3 linked regions of the Zea mays genome follow. The protein of the gene in region 1 interacts with the protein of each later gene in a pairwise test. Links are inferred from orthologs where the notes say so. Each region holds a gene or a part of one and is shown in the gene's direction. Other genes may lie near its edges. The genes, in order: suppressor of RPS4-RLD 1, Protein SGT1 homolog and protein SGT1 homolog.

The links.
Region 2: the proteins of suppressor of RPS4-RLD 1 (region 1) and Protein SGT1 homolog interact in a two-hybrid assay, tested with the Arabidopsis thaliana proteins (2 studies listed by BioGRID). The link is inferred for Zea mays from reciprocal best matches to the Arabidopsis thaliana genes SRFR1 and SGT1B.
Region 3: the proteins of suppressor of RPS4-RLD 1 (region 1) and protein SGT1 homolog interact in a two-hybrid assay, tested with the Arabidopsis thaliana proteins (2 studies listed by BioGRID). The link is inferred for Zea mays from reciprocal best matches to the Arabidopsis thaliana genes SRFR1 and SGT1A.

The regions. Positions count from the first base shown.
Region 1 is NC_050097.1:242,700,912-242,707,311, reverse strand, and holds the end of suppressor of RPS4-RLD 1, read left to right. Parts: coding exon 1-80; intron 81-873; coding exon 874-1,175; intron 1,176-1,244; coding exon 1,245-1,331; intron 1,332-1,464; coding exon 1,465-1,564; intron 1,565-2,598; coding exon 2,599-2,690; intron 2,691-2,797; coding exon 2,798-2,836; intron 2,837-2,921; coding exon 2,922-3,012; intron 3,013-3,234; coding exon 3,235-3,332; intron 3,333-3,444; coding exon 3,445-3,733; 3' UTR 3,734-4,056; downstream 4,057-6,400. Other genes in the region: eukaryotic translation initiation factor 5A-1/2, read right to left, coding at 4,632-4,736, 4,818-4,892, 4,988-5,044, 5,129-5,251, 5,545-5,667. UniProt on the Arabidopsis thaliana protein: Negative regulator of effector-triggered immunity associated with the EDS1 resistance pathway. May localize its interactors to a microsomal membrane. May therefore negatively regulate RPS4 and SNC1 translocation to the nucleus.
Region 2 is NC_050098.1:222,986,730-222,993,883, reverse strand, and holds the end of Protein SGT1 homolog, read left to right. Parts: coding exon 1-3; intron 4-106; coding exon 107-231; intron 232-445; coding exon 446-575; intron 576-752; coding exon 753-849; intron 850-926; coding exon 927-992; intron 993-1,929; coding exon 1,930-2,068; intron 2,069-4,092; coding exon 4,093-4,175; intron 4,176-4,273; coding exon 4,274-4,378; intron 4,379-4,465; coding exon 4,466-4,573; 3' UTR 4,574-4,849; downstream 4,850-7,154. Other genes in the region: WRKY transcription factor 22, read right to left, coding at 5,291-5,744, 6,196-6,321, 6,450-6,907.
Region 3 is NC_050103.1:149,009,769-149,016,805, forward strand, and holds the start of protein SGT1 homolog, read left to right. Parts: upstream 1-2,983; 5' UTR 2,984-3,062; coding exon 3,063-3,225; intron 3,226-7,037. UniProt on the Arabidopsis thaliana protein: Functions in R gene-mediated resistance, but participates in a lower extent than SGT1B to RPP5-mediated resistance. Not required for RPM1, RPS2, RPS4 and RPS5-mediated resistance.

The DNA.
Region 1 (6,400 bases):
CAACTCTTCTTCTAGCTGCAGATTCAATTGGGAAGAAGATTCAATACAATTGTCATGGCTTCTTACCAAATCAACGTCAGGTATCCCTCTTGAAGCTTTACATTTTCCAATTGCTTCGCTGCCATCAAAATTATCCACCATGTAATTGTTCGACTGTCCAGACTGATGAGTGCTTCAGCTTCACCATGACCTCAGTTCTTTATATGTTTGAATTAATATTGATTACAATTAAGAATGAAATAGATCTGCACCTAGAATTTTCTACAGGTGGAATGTGACATTATTTGAGAGGTTGATTACATTGATTATGGTAAAGCATCAATCAATATATACATTTGAGGGAGTATATTGTGATGCTTACCTTGCTTTGTTTTAGTTGATATGCAAGGAATACTGTATTGAGTTCTCTACTGTCACTGGGTGAACACATAGAAGTCTTGTTGAGGATATTACTGAAGGATAAATCAAGCTTGCTGGGGGAATATACATATGTAGCTTTTTTTGTGCCTCACTTATCTGGATAAGTTTTGATGAATGCTCTTTTACATAGTTGCCTCTCTAGACATGCTAGCAGAGATTGAGCACTAACCCAGTTCTGAACTGCATGATGTTGGCCAGTGATGGCCTGGCTACTACTCATTTACGCTTGCTTTCTCCCACTGTGCTTGTATAATTAGAGTTTATATACCAGAGTGCTTCCCAGTTTGGGAATTGTGGAATGCCAGAGTTCTGTGCAGATTATTGGTTATTTCAGTTAATATTACATTTTCTAATTGTCATTTCATTTATTTTAAAATATATTCCAATACTCTTTATCGGTGCACTGTGGTCAAAAGTTTCCTGCTGTGCTAAAATTCCGTTTTACTTTTGAAGTACCGCATGGCCGGGTTGGCTGCTATTGAGATTGCTCAGAAAGTGTCCAAGGCTTGGCGCTTTCTAAGGAATCCGAAGAACATCGCAAAGTTAGTTAGGAAAAGGGATAAACTTAACATGAGCCAGAACAGGGGAGGTTATTGTAGCACTAGCACTTTGGCTGGATCTCCAACTTCCAGCCCAAATGAAGACAGGGTCTCCTCCGGGATCTCTCTTTCCTGGCAGGATGTCTATAACATTGCTGTTAAGTGGAGACAAATTTCTGAACCTTGTGATCCAGTTGTTTGGGTCAATAAGCTAAGGTGAGCTAAATGTTTGTACATGGAATACTAAACTGTTTAACAATTTTCTTACTCTTTCTCTTTTACCAGTGAAGAGTTCAATTCTGGATTTGGTTCTCATACCCCAATGCTTCTTGGTCAAGCAAAAGTTATTCGCTACTATCCATATTACCAAAGGTTGAAACATCATCTGTTTGCTATTTGGTTATTTTTAACCACTAATGGTCTACCTAACAAACATGATTGAGACTAAAAGGAGGTTGATATGTTGTCTTTGTATAGTCAATAATGGTCTTGTTTTCTCATACAGAGTCTTGGAAACTGCGAAGACTATAATGCTTGACTTGAAGTATGTCAATAATGCAGAGGACCGTGCAATTTTTCTTACAGATATTGACAAGTTGAAAAAGGTAAGCCATGCAGCAGTCTGTCGAGTAACATGAGCTCATGGTCAATATCAATGCCTCCATTTATTTTCTCAGCCACTGTATTAAGTAGATGAAAAGAAGTTGCAAATAAAAATACCCCAGGTCACAAAAACAAAAACAAAACACACCCAAATGTACACAGGGGTTACTAACTAAACATTTGCACCACACATACAAAAGGGAAAAAATGACCCAGGAACGCTATCAGTGCAGCAGAGCAGAGAACATTCTCCCTTTCCATCCCTGCCATGCACCAGAGACTTGACTTTCCCCAACACTAACCTGATGACTGTATGCATACTGAACACTGCCCTCTCAAAGATGCATACGTTCTGCTGTTTCTAAATCCTCCCTGCGCACAAGATGACCATGGAATGAAATCTGCTGCGTTGTTCCTTCACCAGCCTCTTAGTTGCATTTGCCACCATTCTGTGAAACCATCTGGTATACATTCCATTGGAGCAAGATATTGCAGTCCCATGAGTCCCAAATCGAACCTGTTAGCATGTTTCAAAATGGATAGGTAATGGTAATTTTTTATAGCGAAAGGGCCTCTAGCTGAGTTGGTTATGTAGTTTGAATAGCACTCCTCAGGTGAGTTCGATTCCCTGTGGGAGCGAATTTTAGGTTGGGGTTAAAAAAAAAAAATCCTCTCATATGTCCCACACCAAAGCACAGATCTAAGGCCTGGCGGTCATTCTCACATGCGCTACAATACCGCTGTGTTTGAGTAGGGCAGGGGTTTGGGAGTTTTTTCGACCTGCATGAGAAGGTCTTAATATACAATATCGCGGGGGCAGTCTTACCCCAACATGTCGAGTTTTTATGGTATTGTTTATCGCTCCATTAGATCTATTTCTTATTGTATGTCAAGGGCTGATTACCTTTTGGATGTGTTGAGCAAGATGGCTTGGATTTGATTGATTCTCATAGTAGTTTGTCATAGCTTTTCGGCAATGTGGAAGTTATGCTATGTTTTTGAAAATCTATGTTCTCATGAGAGATTACTCCTGCAGATAGAAATTGCATCGTCATGCTCAGATTTGTACCATGTAGTTGGTGAGACCTACTGGGTTGCTACAAGATGTGATAGTATGGCGTTTCGGGGGTAATTAACTTTTTTTTTACCTACATCAGACTTCAGAGAAAGTATTTAGAAAAAGAGTATCACACTATCCCTTGGCTTACATACTAACATAACATGCTTTCTTTCAGGAGGCGCCTTGAAGGGACAAGAATTACCACTCAAAACATGCAAGTTTGCTAGACACTTCTCTTGTTTTGCTCTTGGACTATGCTCTGTTGCTATCTACTGCTTACTTGTGTGATGGTACTGCAGAGGCAAGACAGGATTTGACTTTGCAATTCGAACACCTTGCACGCCATCGAGATGGGAGGAGTATGATGAAGAAATGACTGCAGCCTGGGAGGTACAGTTCAAATTTATTGTAATGTTGCTTATGACTTTTTTTTCCCCGAGTTTGGAGAAGGTTTGGTATGGGAAATGTTTACAGAGCATGACATTCTCCAACTGTATAATATCAGAGAATGCCTGTAATGGAAAGAGTTTAAGTCGTATTCAGACCCAATATGTGCTTAGGACTTGTATTGCTAGTTTATAATGAACCTAAGACATTTGTTGTGATCTGCAGGCTATTTGTGAGGCATATTGTAATGACACAAACCCCACACGAGACCCTGGTGTGCTTGATGCTGTGAAGGACGCGATATTGCGGATGACATATTACTGGTAATGATTGCAACCTCTACTCTCTCTCTCTCTCTCTCTCTCTCTCTCTCTCTCTCTCTCTCTCTCTGCACTCCCAACAAAATGATCCTAATCAATGTGGTGGATTTTGCAGGTACAATTTTATGCCTCTTTCGAGAGGCTCGGCTGTTGTTGGCTACGTAGTGTTGCTCGGTTTATTCCTGGCAGCAAACATGGATATTACTGCCAGCATTCCACCCGGTGTCCAAGTTGATTGGGAGGCGATCCTGTCTCCAGATCCCGGCACATTTGTTGACGCCGTGAAGCCCTGGTTGTACCCATCCACAAAAATAAGCAGGTGCCTGAAAGATTACACGGACGTCAGCTGCGCGTTCAGCACGACAGGTTCGGTTGTAGCGGCCCTAACATCTGTTGACCCATAGGTTATTTGTCCAAGTGTTATAGGTTGCTCCAGTTGTTAGTGTATTTGTTTCAAAATACCTCAGCTTTGCTTAGCTTGTCAGAATTTCTCAGTTTGCAAAAAGTTTGTATGTTTCTGTGTTGTATACAGATATGCAGTAATGTTGTAACTTGAAAAAAAATAAGATTTATTTTCATTGGAACAAGTTTTTTTTTTTTTTTTGTAATAAACAGTTAAACACCAATAAGTTTTGCAGTTACTTCTTGGATGTTTGTATGCCATGGTATATGGTCTTGAACACTTAGCCTAGAGGATTTCCCTCTTATTTATAGAGCTATTACTCAAGGCCTTGTGGTATTTGACATTTATCAGAGTCCATAAGCACGAATCCACTACTTTCACCATCATCATTGACTGACTTCGAGCTCTACACATACGCAAGTCAAGAGACATGTACAAACACGGTTGAGAGGTGTTGCGTTGCCTGTCGTCCAAAGGAGTTGATGTGGTCTTGGTATTTTGGACCTTCGTAATGCTGGTTTGGCCTTTCGGTTAGGTTGGCCCAACTGCACAGAGCCTCCTCTTGCTGTGTTGGATATTTTAGATATATCTAAATCAGCGAGATATACAGAAAATGAACACGAGCAGACCGTCGCAACCCTCAATACAAAGGCATAGGATAGAGCTGCTGCCGATCCTACAAGGCATAACAAGACTGTAGGCAAGAATTTAAACCAAATATTTCAACTGAATACATATTGACCATAACTAAGTTGAAAAGAATACCACAGATCGCTAACCAAGTAGAGTAGTAACACCAACCACCTCGACAAATTTCCAGGTAAACCCAAAACCACAGATAACTTATACGCTTTATCTATGCATCTCAACTCTAAGCACACGAGACAGCAGCAGCGGCTTTAGTTCTTGCCCCCGATCTCCTTGACAGCGCAGATCTGTTCCTCGCCCATGGAAGACATCACCGTCAGGAGGAGGTCCTTTCCATCATCATATCCGCTCTTGATCTGCAGACGTAGAGCGAAATGTCTCAGTCTCAGAGACCTGGAACAGAAGCGGTGGAGGGGAATCTGCCGCCGCTAACTGACCTGGCCTTCCAGAGCTTCATCAGTCGGAAGCCTGAGGTCATCCTTAGTGTTGCCACTGTCAGTCAAAAGGCTCACCTGTAAAATGCTCTCATCGATCATTATAAACTAAACTAAACTAAACCGGAAAGTATTACAGAAATGCCAGGTTGTTGCAATGGAAGCAAACGCACAAATCCATCTTCAGTGATGTCAATCAGCTGATACTCAGTGCGATCAACATGGGGAACCTGTACAATGCACGGACAAGACAAAAAGGTTACGTGCACTCATAACTGAACAAGCAACCACAAGGAGTGACAATGATAGCTTACATCACAGTTGTGAGAAGAAGGAACAATATCCTCAAGCTTCTTTCCAGTGAAAACGTCAATGCCAACAAAGTGGCACTTGGCATGCCCATGCTTCCCAGTCTTGGAAGTGGAGACCTCAACAACCTAAAACAAGAACGTATACTAAATTGTTTAGACATGTTCAGACAACATGTTAGGTGCAGAACCACCACATGGGAATAGCCCCATGGAGCACTTCATCCAGATGGAAACTGTGGCAAAATTGAAACCAAATCTTTATCCTACAGAGCGGCACTGTAGGTCACGGTATACATATCCATAGACACATCTGCAGCAAAATCCTTCCAGGTGTGAATGCAGCAGACCCAGCACTTGAAGTATATCTAAATCCACAGCTAAGAAATCTGCCTCAAACATGCGATGGCCAAATCTCTCACCTTGCAGGGACGTCCCTTGATGACGATGTAGCCGTTCTTGCGGATGGTGCCGGCCTGCTGCGGGTAGGTCTTGGAGGCGCCGGCGTCGGCCTTGGACTCGAACTGGTGCTCCTCGTCCGACATCTCCGGGAATCTTACAGGGATCCTATAGCAACAGTAACAAGAGAAGAATGGCGGCAGCAAGAAGAAGAAGAGCGCACGAAGGTGAGAAACAGAAAACGCAGAGAGCTGGCAGAAAAAACTTTCAAGAGATCTGAATCGAGGAACTCGCTGCTCACCGGTGGAGAAGTATGAGAGGAGATTTGCAGGACGGATCCGCGACCGCGAGGCTCGGGCTCTACGGTTCGGTTTCTGCCAGATTTTTATCAGAGGGCGTCGACCGATGGGACGGGTATTGGGCTGTCACTCGTGATGGGCCATGATTTGGAGGGTTGTTTATGACATGGTGTGGATAACGAGCCGGCTCGGCTCGTTCGAGTTCGAGCTGGCTCGTTAAGCTAACGAGCCAGCTCAGCTCGGTTCGTTAAGATAACGAGCCACAGAGTCAGCTCGGCTCGGCTCGTTTACGAGCTCGAGCTGACTCGTTTAGCTTGCGAGACAGAGCAGAAAAAAAAAAAATAAAATGTATATAATAATTATTTTTTAGTTAATTTCAAATTAATTTCACAATAGAAAATAGTAATTATACTCATAGTTTCACAAACCACGTCAATATAACACCAAATTAGCATAATTCATCACTCATTAATTCACAATTTACATACATGTTCATCAGTTTAACCTATAATTATACTTGCATAGACCAAATTAACACATAAACATAGTTCATTAATCATTATTTTAATTCATAGGCCAT
Region 2 (7,154 bases), on another chromosome or scaffold:
AGGGTTAGTGGCACTCTTCATTTTTTCAATAAAAGTTATACATGAACACTCCCATAACCCCTCTGCTACATTTTTATCTATGTACTAAGTTATTTCTTGTTTGCAGTGCTGCATGCATTAAGCTTGAAGAATACCAAACTGCAAAGGCTGCTCTTGAGTTGGGTTCTTCTTATGCATCAGGCGATTCAAGGTTTGCTCGTCTATTGAAGGAATGTGATGAGCGCATCGCTGGTGAGAAAAATTAACTTCAGCAGTGTGTGTGTATCTGGTGGTGATGTTGGGGTCTTGGGTATGCAATGTGGTGCATGCTATTTTCTGACGATATGAGTCCACTTAGCTGCCTTTCCTGAGAAATGTTTGTAGCAGCCTTGTAGACTGGGGGATGATTATGTTTCAGCTTAATCATCTCATACTACCTGTCATGTTATTTTGTTTATGTTTCCAGAGGAATCTAGCCAGGCACCAGTAAAGAATGTTGAGGCTACTGTGGCTGCTACTATTGAGGACAAGGAGGATTTCACAAATATGGAGAATACACCACCAGTGATAGAACCCCCAAGCAAACCAAAATACAGGTAACTCCTGTAAATTCCTAGAACTCTTTGAACCACCTAGCTTGGATTGAATGCTGTGTAATCAAACCACTTTACCTTTTCCCAGTACAGATTTGTTTACTGATAAGCATATTCTAATTCAGGCATGACTTGCTAGTTTTTTTGCTAAATTTTTCTCTTAAACAATTTGTGCTGCAGGCATGACTACTACAACAGTGCCACAGAAGTGGTACTGACAATATTTGCTAAGGGTGTTCCTGCTGATAGTGTAGTCATTGATTTTGGTGAACAGATGGTGTGTTCTGCTCATATTATTATTATAATTGTCTTGTCTGTTTTTACTGTATTCACTAATCTTGTTTCTCATTCTAGTTGAGTGTATCCATTGAAGTTCCTGGTGAAGAACCATACCATTTTCAGCCCCGTCTGTTTTCTAAGGTAATCACTCACCATTCTATTGTGATGTTACTTTTCATACTTATTATCTGTTATTAAGGTAAAGTGTGAGTTTTACTGTATAGCATATAGCTAGCACTTTGTCATTTTGTCTTCAAGACAAGGGTCAGATACAAAATAGAAATTTATTTATGACTTCTAGATGCTGAGTCTCAATCAAAAGGTCAAGACTGAAAAAATTAAATAACTCCAGAGAAACAAAACACACACACGCACACACAAGGTTCACTTTACATTTTTTTTCTACTGTATAAACACAGGCAATGGGGATTCAAATCAAGATGTTGCTTTGTGTTATTTTTTAAAGAAGTATTTAGCAGGTCCTGTGCTCAACTGTGATGTTTTTGGTTAATATTACCCCCCTGTAAAGTTCAACCACCTGTTTTTTTTGTGATTTAGCTAAACTGGTTAGCTAATAAGACATAGCAGTGTTTCATTCAACGATTTGGGTTTATACACCGCAGACAGCACAGTTCTTTTTTCTTCATCATATATAATGCAGTCAATGCAATTCTTTTGATAAGCATGGAATGACTTGAATTTGTGAACTCCAAAAATTGCTTCAACAGCACTTCTTGATTTGTTTCTAGATCTGCTCTTGGTAAATAATTTTGAATGCTTGTATAAAATTCATGTGTATCAGGTTTCTGAATGATTGTAAGGTTTTTTGTTAGTTTGTGGAAACTAAAGTGATGTTGCATTTTTGTTCTCTCTTTTTTCTTTGGAGTGACATATAAACCAATTAAGACCTGGTAATGGAGTCATTTTCTTTTGGTCTTGTTGACATGTGGGCCTGTCATTTAAATTCCGCATAGCATTGCTTGTCAATCCAGTAATGTTTGTGGACTGTACTTATCTAATTAGCTTATTGAATCCTTTCTTATGTGTGAATAAATGTTTTTATATTGTTGGAAATCAGATTATCCCTGAGAAATGCAAATATCAAGTCTTATCCACCAAGGTCGAAATACGCCTTGCAAAAGCTGAGCAGGTGACATGGACAACCCTGGATTATAGTGGAAGACCAAAGACTGTTCCCCAGAAGATAAGCACGCCAGGTAACAAATCTTTTAGAACTATTGCCACTCATCATGTCTGAGTCTCTGAAACTGTGATTTACTGATGATTTCCTTCCATCCTAGAGATGGGTCAAAGCATAATCAGGCACCTTTTAAGTGCTAACTCTGAATTGTGGGTAGGCCAGAGTTCTGAATTTTCTTTTGTTTCTTTGATCATCTTGTCGTTTGCTGGATGTTTTTATATGGGTAGTTAAGTATTTCTACCTCTACACCTTTCTTTGCTCAGTTCCATATCATTCACCTACCTTAGATTAGTCCGCACACTGTCCCCCTGAAACTAGTTTCGTGCCTGAAGTTTATAAGAGTGGATATCAGAATGATGGTGTGGAATGAAGTGCATTATAATAAAGATGCATGATGCACGGATGATGAATGATGACATCGTCCTTGAAAAGGACTTGGATATTCTAACATACATGATATTCATTACTATGGCATATTAGGGAAATTATGGTCAATGGTGTATAATATTGTCATTCAAGAGGACTTTGATATTCTAACATACATATACATGATATTCATTACTATTGCATATTGGGGGAAATTACGGTCAATGGTGTTTCATACTATTGATATCATTTCCTCTAATTCTTTACTGTGGTGTATTAGGGAAATTACGGTCAATGTGTATCATGGTTCATAGACGTTAATATCCTTTGCTCTAATTCACCTATTTGAAGTATTGATTTGCCAACAGAAGAAGCATAAGCATGTTGCCAACCAGAAGTATTGTGCTTGTAGTTATGCAGCGATATTAACAATAGTTATTAAGGCGACATAAGGCGATCGACCCCCTTTGGCCTTTTTAACTTTAGGCGGTAAAGAGTAAGGCGAAGTGACACCTTAATTATATAGATAAATATAAAAAAATTACACCAAATATTATTTATATACCACTGATTCAAAGGTAATAAGCAAGCTAGCACAACCGTAAGGCCTAGTAGGCCCATTTCAGCCTAGTGGAAGAGAGAAATAGGAAAAAGAAAAAAGAAATAATCCCACAACCATTCAACCCAACCCAACACAACAATTTTAGGGTTAAAACCTCACCAGTCACCACACAAATATCTCAGCCGCCAGCAGCTTTTCCCTCCCCGCAGCTCTCCTCCCTCCCCTGTGGCTCTCCCTCCTCTTCTGGCCGGCCCGGCCATGTGCTGCTGATGCTGCTTTCCCCGCCCCTTACTCTCGCTGGCAAGGCGACGCCTTGCATGTCTAGGCTCACCTTTCCGCTTAAGTGTTGCTTTAGTGACGCCTTAATAACCTTGATATTAACGAGTACTCTTTGACCGTGTCCAGCAGTTCACCCTTATGGTCACCAAAAACACTGTTTTGCATTGTAGACTGCACTGTTCGTAGGTTGAAATTTGAATATGGGTATGAGGATTGGTAAGCTGTTGGAGATTTCCTTAGAGACCATCTGTTGAGGTGACCTCATCTTGCTTTCGTCGGCAAGAATTTAAATTTTAAGTAATCATTAAATGAACTATCAAGTTAAAATTTATGGAGTTGTACACAATTTACTTTTAGGCTCCAGCAGCATACTCATCCCTATCATTTATTTTAAACTCCACTTTGTAAACAATATAATCTACAGTGTAAATGGTGTTTTGCATGGCCATATGCATGATCTGTTTGGCATAGCCTTACAATGGTCCATTTCTATTTCATTTCATGGTGGATGGTAAATGATTAAGCTTTATCCGGAACTGTGTACATGATAGATAGTTTGAGATGAACAACAACAGCCATCTCTATATGGTATTGGTCAACTAAACAATCTGGATTGTTGTTCAAGTGACTAGTGAGGCTACTAAATTTAATGTAATGGATTTGTGCACATGTTAGTTTTCTAGTGTGTCCATTTTGTGGTTCATGGATTGTTTGTACATGTTCTACAGTTTGCGATGAACATATTTCTGTATATAATATTGGCCAATCGACAATCTGGATCATTTCTTGAATCGTCTTGCATTTCTACATTTTTTTGTATATATGTTCTGCAGCTGAAACAGCCCCAAGACCTTCATACCCATCTTCAAAGGCGAAAAAAGACTGGGATAAACTGGAAGCTGAAGTCAAAAAGGAGGTTTGATGAAGATCCTCACTTATATATGTATCGATCTTATTGCTAGAACTTGGGTTTATCGAATATGAATGGGGTTTCATGATTTGTGTCTGCATCAGGAGAAGGAAGAAAAACTTGATGGTGATGCTGCATTGAACAAATTCTTCCGTGACATCTACAAGGATGCTGATGAAGATATGCGGAGGGCCATGATGAAGTCATTCGTACGTGATGTTTGGCCCAGCTAATACTGGATTTGGAGCCAACTGTATTTTATGTCTATACTCACGTATCCTTGCCCGTTTCTGCAGGTGGAATCAAATGGCACTGTTCTCTCAACCAATTGGAAAGATGTTGGAGCAAAGAAGGTAGAAGGGAGCCCCCCTGATGGTATGGAGCTCAAGAAGTGGGAATACTAAAGTTTGGACTGCCCATCTTTTGTAAATCCAGGTCTTGGAAACTATGACCTAATTCCGTCCACCCATAGTGCCATGAGCTTGCTTGGTTAAGTCTCTGCTTTTGTAAGCTTTCTGTATGACAGTCTAGCGTGTGTCTGAGTGCTACTTGCCGTAGCTTTTGATGGACATAGGTATGCTATTATGTGGTATCGACCGGGAACCATCTGTGGTATCAAAGACAGCAAACTATAATGTATGGAATGCCTATTCTTTTTGGTCTAAGATGTTTTTCTTGTCAGCGTAGTGTGATCTTCACAACTGAATAATAGAAACTATGCAGGGACCTATGTTACAGTGGTCCACCGTTGGCACAGTTGCATTTGCGTCTCTTTGGTGGATGAATTGAATTTATGGGAAAATTGATTTCTACCTGGCATTTATGCATCGGCGTTTTACTTGGTTTCAGGTTTCAGGTATGTTGCCTGGTTCATGCGCTCAATACAGCCAGGTGGCACCTGAATTATAGGAGTACATGTACAAAACTCAATGCGCACCGACTTCTCGGAGATTACGCAAGCACGATATACAACGGAAATTCATCAGCCCGTTAGTTTTCGGGGTCCTGTTTGTCAGAAACACGCACAAAAAAGACGCCTATACATAGAATCTCTTCGAGGCGAGGTCTTTTCGTCCTCCATTGCCATTGAAGGTTCTGATTTCTGGCGTTACAGCGCCCACCTAGAGGGAGAGCCGGCGTCCCAGTACGCCATCTTCCGCCTCGATGACCTGCTCGAAATCGAAGTCGTCGTCGACGGGCGCCAAGAGCTCGTCCAGGTCCAGCCCCTCAGGCCAGAACTCGCTGTCGTCGTCGACGGCCGCTATCTCCTCGCCGCCAATCTCCCCGGCCACCGTTGACGTCTCGCTGCTGCCATGCTCGCGGTCGCCGGTGCCACGGCCGGCCGCCTGTCCACCATGCTCGTGGCTCTTGGGAGAGGAGGCCGCGCTGTGCTCGGCGGCCGCGCCGGACGACGGCTTGTGGCGAGTGGTGCCCGCGAGCGCGTTGAGCTGCGTGGGCACGGGGTGGCAGTGCTCCGCCATGTAGGTGACGATGAGCACCCCGGGCTTCGCTGGGCTGCGCTCCACCAGCTTCCGCGCCATGCACCCCTTCATGCTGCTGCACTTGTAGTACCCCCTGCGGCCACAGATCAATTCCCATCGCAACAGTCGCGTTAGTTCGCTGAGCGTGCGGGCCAGCAGCCACAGGGTCAACTGCAAGCACGCAGTACGGCTATCGAATTACAGTATCTTGTACGTAGTACTGTACTGCAAAAAGCTTGATTGGTGATGTCCAAGTGGCTTTGGCGTCTCGCTCTTGTGGCTGAATTATCAAAGCTCCTAATTACACTAGCTAGGCTAGGACACCTATGCGAAGCCTCAAGGATGGCATGCATGCCATCCCTTTCTTCTTGTTTCCTTAAAGAAAAGGTGCCTTCTTGTTTCCTTAAGAAAAGGTGGCAATAATTAAGGTGTTGGGAGTGATTGAGTCAACGTTCGACGATAAGGCCACCTATACCAGCTAGCTAGTAGCAGGCAGTGAGTGCAACGCGTGGAAAGCATGTTAAGGCGAGGTCAAAGGTAGTTACCGCGGATAAGGCGAGCCCTTGATGGGCTTTTGGCCATACTTGCGCCACGCCCACGGGTCCGACGACGACGAGCCGCCGTCGGCCGCCGGCATCTCCCGCACCACCTTCTTCAGCTGGCTCTTCTTGCTGCCATACCACAACCAGGGAAGAAAAAAAAGAAGAGAAAAGCAATAAGCCATCATATCATCGCACCACCTTCTTCAGCTGGTTCTACTACTACCGTTCTATGCTGCACGGGACGACCGGTACGGTACCTTCTTTTAGGCCGCGAAGTGCGCGCGCCGGGCTTCCGGCCTGGCGGCGACGCCCTCTGCTGCGTCCCGGACGTGGACGCCGCCGCCGCCGCGGGGAAAGAGATCATCACCTCGCGCTCGCGCCCGCCGGCCCCCGCCCGCGGCCCCGGCGACGGCGACGGCGACGGCGCGGCCGGCAGCAGGAACGGCCTGTGGTCCAAGTCCAGGTACTCCAGGTCGTACAGGAGCGCCGCGGCCTTAGCCGCGGGCGGCGACGCCCGTCCCTGTCGCCGGACAGGCACCGTCGTCGGCGTGGCACGGGCGGCGGGCGCCTCGTCTCGCCGCGGCGCGGGCACCGGCTCCGGCGCTGCGTCTGGCTGATCCGCCCTCGGCGCCGCGGCGGCGGGCTCCGGGTGCGCCACGCTGCCGCAGCTCCTGACGACGGCCTGCAGGTCCCAGTCGTTGAAGTGCTCCGCCATGAGCAGCGGCTAGCATAGCACGCCGCGCATGAACCACGACGGGCGGTCTCTCGAGCGGCCTTTGGCGAGGCGGAGGGCCGGCCGGGACGCGTGCGTGCTGCTCGCTCCTTGCTCCTGGGGGGGACTGGCGGGCAGGGAGAAGGGGGTGGGGTTGACTTTTGGCAGTGCGAGTCCAGCAGGGCCCCGCATATATACGCGTATGAGAACGCCGAGTATTTGGAGACGCGGCACGGCGCGGGCTCTACTC
Region 3 (7,037 bases), on another chromosome or scaffold:
TAAAACACCAGTTTCAACGGTCGTGCTGCGACAATATTTTTCAAAAAACCCCTATATTTCTTTAGAATCAACTCGCACTCCTATAATCTCTTATCTACTACTATAATAGGAGAGTTTATGTAAAAAATAAGTTCAAATTATGTATAAGTGAGTGTTTGAACTTTGATTGTTGGCTCCACATTCACAACCACCTAATCAATAGAAAATATATATTTTATACTTTATTAAAACAAAATTTATCTTATATCATATATATATAAACCGTAGCAATATACGGTCATATATGATTACTAGGAACGTGCCCGTGCGATGCCACGGAACACAAATTGCGACCCTCCAATGGACTTAGGGCCCTGGCGACGGGCGACGTGAGTACAATAGTGACGGCAAAATCTGTGATTAAACATCATCTATTGTTGTGAGTATAAATGTAAACTTAGTTTAGTCTGTTTACCTATCGAAACAATGCTATGTCAGTCCATACCAAAACTCGCATAAATCGCATGAAAGAATTTATACAGCACAAGTTTGCTAGATACCAAAATATATTTTCCTATGACTGATGAAAACTGGAGAACGTTGCCTAAAACCTACAATCTAGAACATTCAGAACCTCGAAGAGCAACCTAAGATTGTGATGAAGAGAGAAGGAAGCCTCAACTGTCAGGGTGAGTTGGAAGAAGCGTGAGCTAGGAGTCCTTCACCGCCCAGCCACGGTCGTCGAGACCGACAGCCCCCTCCACCGCCGATATGATATTTGGCACCGAAATCCCGCCTGAGAGGATGATTTCTGTAACAAATCCCTCACAATAAATAGAAATGACGTTTAGAAAAGATATGTGGTAAACAATGGGAACTGATGTTTATATACCAATTACCAATTATAATATTCTAGCAACTGCTCCTTGCATACATGTAAAAAAATGGCATTTGACAACAATAGAATTCTTTGTTCGAGTTAATATTAATCATAAACCAGGGGAGAACATTTAATATTTAGCTTTACACACTTGCACTGATGTTATAATATCTAGCTTTACACACCAACGCATACTTTAAGTCTCGTTCTAGTACAAATGCAACACGAGCCCCGCTCCGGCAACGGCCAACCTCTTCGATCGCCTGGCTCCCTAAGATGTTGCCAACGCATACAGCCAAATCGTGTGTCACGGAAACCTATTGGCGCTGGAAAAAAATCATGATCCTTGGTCGACGGAAGGAAACAGACGAAGAGATTGATCGACGGGAGCAAATGGACGAGCGGCGACGTCGGGAGGAAGAAGAGAACCCGGGCGTAGCGCCAAAAGCACTTTAAACAGGGACGATGATGAGAATTGAGAAGTCGTGAATCTCGTTGGGAGCCGTCCGGGAGATCGGATGCTTTCAGTCTTCTTCCGTCCTCTGCAAATTGCACCAGAGCAGAAGCAAAGAAGGCCAAGGTACATTGGATGGCAGAGCGACGCGATTGGAAGAGATAACCTGTTTGAATGGACAGGCGAAAGCAAAAGAGAATGCTTCTCTATACCATTTCGAGATTCAAACACCCCCGAAAAATAGGCAGCCCCAAACCTTTGAAATAAAGGCCTTAAACATATAATCATCAGTGACAAATACGCCCAATTTAAACATGAAAAAGAAATAACTACATAATTTGTTGCTAATGATTTATCAAACAAACACCTTCTATTGTTTCATTCCAGGTGTGTGGAAATAAACACTGAACGAAGACATGCATCTTCTACTGTGTGTATGGTACTTTGCACAATCAATGGAGACAAGCAATTCGACATTATATGTAAGAATAAGATGTAACGAACAATTAGGCAGATGAACGATACTGACCCTACAAGCCGACGAACATGACCAAATTGGGCTTCCCTTTGCTGGGGGTGAAAGATGGCTTCCCGGGATCCAGCATCCTGCGCAACTCATCGACAACGGCATGCAGACACACAACAGAGAAATCAGCCCTCTCTCGGGCTCCATTTCCTGTGGCTCATCCACACCTGACAGGCTAACACTGCTGAAAAGCAGGGTCCCAAAACAATGCTAGAGAGGCCTAGCGATTAGCGTGGACAGTAACGATGGCGGTTAGCGGTCACGACGGTCGGTCAGTGCTCCAGTCAGGTCCCGAGTCGGCTCGGCGGCGGCTAGACCTTGCAGATGATGAGGAAGCAAGGGAGCACGCCGCGGCTGTCGAGGACCACCAGCTCGCCGTCGCCCATGTCCACGGAGTCGTACGCAGAAGGCGAAGAGCAGCGCGCAGAGGCCGACAATGGCGTAGGACACGACGAGCCCGGGCCCCGCGTAGAGGCGGGCGGCGCCGGCCCGTGGTCACGAACACGCCAGCGCCCACCATGCCACCGAGCCCGAGCCCCACCAGGCTGCGCGCATGGTCGGGGGCGGTTGCGCGCATGGCAGCGGGGGTTTGGGGCGGGACACGGGTGGTTGTTGGGGGGCATGGCTGCGCGAGATGGAGACGGGTGCGGGGGTGGCTGCTCGCATGGCCGGGTGCCTGTGGCTGCGGCTGCGGCTGCGGCTGCGGGAGCGAGAGCGAGAGCGAGGCAATCAGACGGTCGAGATGGAGGCGAGATTGATGTGGTAATCGGACGGTCGAGATGGAGGCGGGGGTATGGTTGTGCCTAGTCTACACTATTGCCTTAAGGATTAGTAGAGATAAGAGTCAAATCGACAGTCACCAACTAATCAAATCAACCAATCAGTTAGCGGCTCGCGAACCTTTCTCGCAACAAAAATCATAGTACGACCGACAACTTGACCCACACAAAAGAGAAAAAGAAAGAGAGAGAAAAGCACAAGAAGCCCAATCCGCAAGCTGCAAATGATGCAGCTAAACCCCGGCCCGCCCTAGCCTCGGCCTCTAACTCATCGAACTCTCTAGAACCTCGCGGGCCATTCAAAAGGCTGCGCCGTTAACCCCATCCCTTCGCCTGCCCTGCCCACGTGGCCACGTACGAGTGACCTCGATTATTCTGTTTGCTCTCGTTCAAGTCATCGTCTGGTCGCGTCGGCAGCAGACGCCCAGAGCCGGAGGGAGCGCCATGGCCGCGTCGGATCTGGAGAGCAAAGCCAAGGAGGCCTTCGTCGACGACGACTTCGAGCTGGCCGCCGAACTCTACACGCAGGCCATCGACGCCGGGCCCGCCACTGCCGATCTCTACGCCGACCGCGCCCAGGCGCACATCAAGCTCGGCAACTACACTGGTGCGGGCAGTGCCTCCCCCCCCCCCCTCCCCCAACCTGATTCGATTGCTTGTGCGCTGACGTGTGAGGACAGTAGTTCGACGAGCGAGCGTGGGTGTTGTTGAATAATTAGACATTTTACATATTCAATTCCGAATGTAAATCATGATCAACGATAAATAGTCTAGGTGCACAAGTAACCTATTATCTAGCGATATAATTATAAAAATACAGCACATCTCTATCATAACAGATGAACTGAAGTATATCTCTACCATAACAGATGAACTGAAGTATAAAGTCAAATTAGATAATACGTACTGATCAGACATCGATAATTTCGAAGCAGCAGGGTCATTCGAAGCAGCAGGGTCGATGAGAAGAACACGAGCAGTCACGTGAAGACGTTTCCCAAAAACCTTATTCGTCCTCTTCCGGTGCAGAATCTCGAAGGCGATAGGTTTCAGAGACCTGCTCTCCCGATCGCAGATGCACGTCGATGCTTAGGATGAAGAGGACTACGATGGCGTCACAGCTGTAAGCAGAGGCGAAAACCTAACTTAGGTTGGGATGGGATGTTCTCTGGCAATGGTTGGTAGACGCCTTATATATGGTCATGTCCATGAACCGATAAGCTCGCGATCCGATACGATCGTGATTCGATAAGGTTGCGATCGAATAGCTATCTCCCTTGCCACACATGGGCTTTTATAATTTTCCTAAGATTTAATTGAATTTCTCAATTGAAATTGAGTCAAGCCCATAAATCCAACATGTGTGAATGTAACCGCAAGGGTCTGGTATAGTGTTGTGCGGCTTTTAGGCCGTCTTCGGCGGATCGTGTAAAATATGGGACGTGACACTGTAGATAACACTATTCGATACTATTTGTAGAGTGAAGTTTGAAATAGTAGATGAGATAGGAGATGAATAAGGGATCTACTAGAGATGGCCTTAGAAGGCTAGTTTGATTCACTGTTTTGTTGTTGTAATGAGCTCGCTCGTGGCGATTCTAGGGTAGGGTGTGGGAGGTCAACGTCGACCTTTGGTGTAGACTTGGGCGATGAATCATCCGATTTGAATTTCAAAGAGGGCACTAGATGATTGGTGTTTCTGAAATGGCCGATTAGAGTTGAGAATATGATTAGCCAGAGTTTAGTTCGTTGTTGTATGTTGTGTGTACTGTGGAGTATGAAGATTCAAATTGCGTGAAATGTCCATGGCTAATTAGGACATGTACAACTTTGAGCACTTGTATCGGGTTTCTATATATAAGAGACAGCTAACAGATGGTACGATACAACCCTGAGCCTCTAGTTTATAAATATAGTGAAGACACAATATATATAGAGAGTCACATAGAGACAGTCTCTTTGTGAAGACTGTCTCTGGTACTTTTTTATTTAACCTCCTAAAAACCTCGCAAGAGAACCCATATTCAATGGATTGTACATGCCCTTATGTTTGGGATATAGCTTTGAGCCGTGCGTTGCAATGTATATTCTTAGTGCCCTACTTGTCGCTTTGATGTGTGCGTGACATGGTTATTAAAGCGGTAAAACGTTATGAACCAACTTTGTAACATTTAAACGAATGTTGAAACGTCTTTTCAGACTTGGCATAGAAATTCAAATATAGAATAAGTTCATACATAAGTTGAGTTCACAAACCAATATAGAATCAGTACTCACCAATATGGTTGAGCAAATAGAGATTGAATGATTGATTCACTGTTGGGCAATATGGTTGCACAAAATTAGTACTCACGTACTCACCAATATTGATTCCACAGTTGAGTAGGTCTCCTGTCTTTGGCAGTTGGGTGTAGTGCAGGTCTCTTGTCTTGGCCGCAGGTTTGCTGTGGGCGCAGTTCTTGGCCGACGGAGAAGAGGAGGACGGCGGTGGCGGCCGGTTGTGCCTCCACGGCTGAGCCCCACAGCGGTTGGCAGAGAGCGGCAATTGGCTGAGGAGAGGAGAGAGGAGCGCAGCGTGCGTCCAGCGCTGGCCAGTGGCCACCTAGAAAATGCTAAAGGCCCAAGAAAGGCCTAGGACGGGTAGAACGTGTAAAACACCCTAAAACGCTATTAGGACACTTAAACGACGTTTAAACGCTCGAAACGGACGTTCTACGCCCTAAACCTAAAACGCTCGGACGTTCCAAATTTTAATCACGTTTTCTCGCTTAAACGACGTTTAAACGATGTTTAAACGACATTTTAATAACAATGGTGCGTGATACGTTTTATCCAAAGTTCCCTAATTGTTGGGTCGCAATGTGTGTTGTAAGGCATCCGCCTAGTCCGCTACTATCGTGGTGCTGTGCATGTTTTTAGGTATGCCCCAAGTTCCTTACCAGTTTCATTTATGTGGTTTGTAATGTGTTACCCCTTGTTTCTTGCTTCATTGCTATGCTTTTTTTTGTTGTTGCTCCGAGAGTTTCGGGTGAAATGTGTGTATACATGTGAAATAGTACAACTCAATTGGTGGCTTGAGGGGTTTCAGCAGCATGTTGAAGAAGTTGTGATGACACAGTGATTTGGAAGGATTTAGATTGTATTAATCTCTGTTGGTCTTAGTATGGGGTGAGGTCATTTTGTTGTATGAGTCTCTGGAACATAGTTTTTAAGGCATTTTCGCCTAGATGGTAAGGCGCTCCAGTGAGGTAAGGTGTCCTCCCCGCCTTGCTTTGTCACCTAAGGCGGGTGGGAGAGAGGCTAGCGCACGATGGCTGGCGACGGAGGCACATGAGAGAGGGAGAAGCGGATAGAGAGGCTAGCGCACGATTGTAGTGCCAAGTAATTCATTCTGACCACATTCTGCAGTTAAATTTGACCAAAAAATGCCTCCTATTTTATATATTTTATATAGTTGTATACCATCTTTAACATTGGTTTTCTTCTAGTTTCCTCTCTCATCCTAACTGTACATCCATACCAGCATCCATACCAGCAGTTTCCAAAATAAGAAACTACATGTTGATTTGCTGTCATTATTGTATTTGTTTGCAATAAGAAACATAATGCAAAGTTTGGCTATGTCTGAATCAGTAGTAACCATAAGAAATGCATGGTGTGGTAGTAATAAGATGTGGTGTGTAAAGTTTCGCTTCGGTTACATGTGAATCATTATAACCAAATTACTAAAATAATAAACTACATGGTGTTGCCATTGCAACTTTTTTTGTTTGTTGTAACAAGGAAGTCTGCATGAAGTTTCTTTTTAGTTTGTAGTGTTATTCATGTTAGAGTGGAATGGATGGATTAATTTATGGATAATATTACATATATATCAGCCACTACCGAGGTTTCCTCCATAACCCTAATGGGTTGTACATCTGCTAGGCTCTAGGCCCATAATACTTGGACACAATCAACCATACAATAGCACACGGTCTAACACCTCCCATACACGAAACTCTAGCCATAACAGATGTTGAGGCTAGAGCGAAACTCTGTGAACATTGAGGATGGAAGTCTCTTAGTGGAGATGTTAGCAAACTGCGAGGTCATCGAGATGTGCAGGGCATGAACGACCCTAATAGCAATGTGCTCCTGAACGAAATGAAGATCGATCTCAACATGCTTCGTGCACTGGTGCTAGACAGGGTTGACAGAGAGGTAGATGGGACTGATGTTGTTGTAGTAGACAAATGTACTCCTGGTGAGGGGGCTATGAAGCTCCTAGAGGAGTTGGTGCAGCCAGCTCGCCTCAGCCACTCCATTAGCAACAACCCGATACTCAGCCTCAGCACTAGAGCAGGAGATCACGGGCTGACGCTTGGAGGAATAGGAGATGAGGTTGTCCCTAAGGAACATCGCATAGCCAGAGGTAGA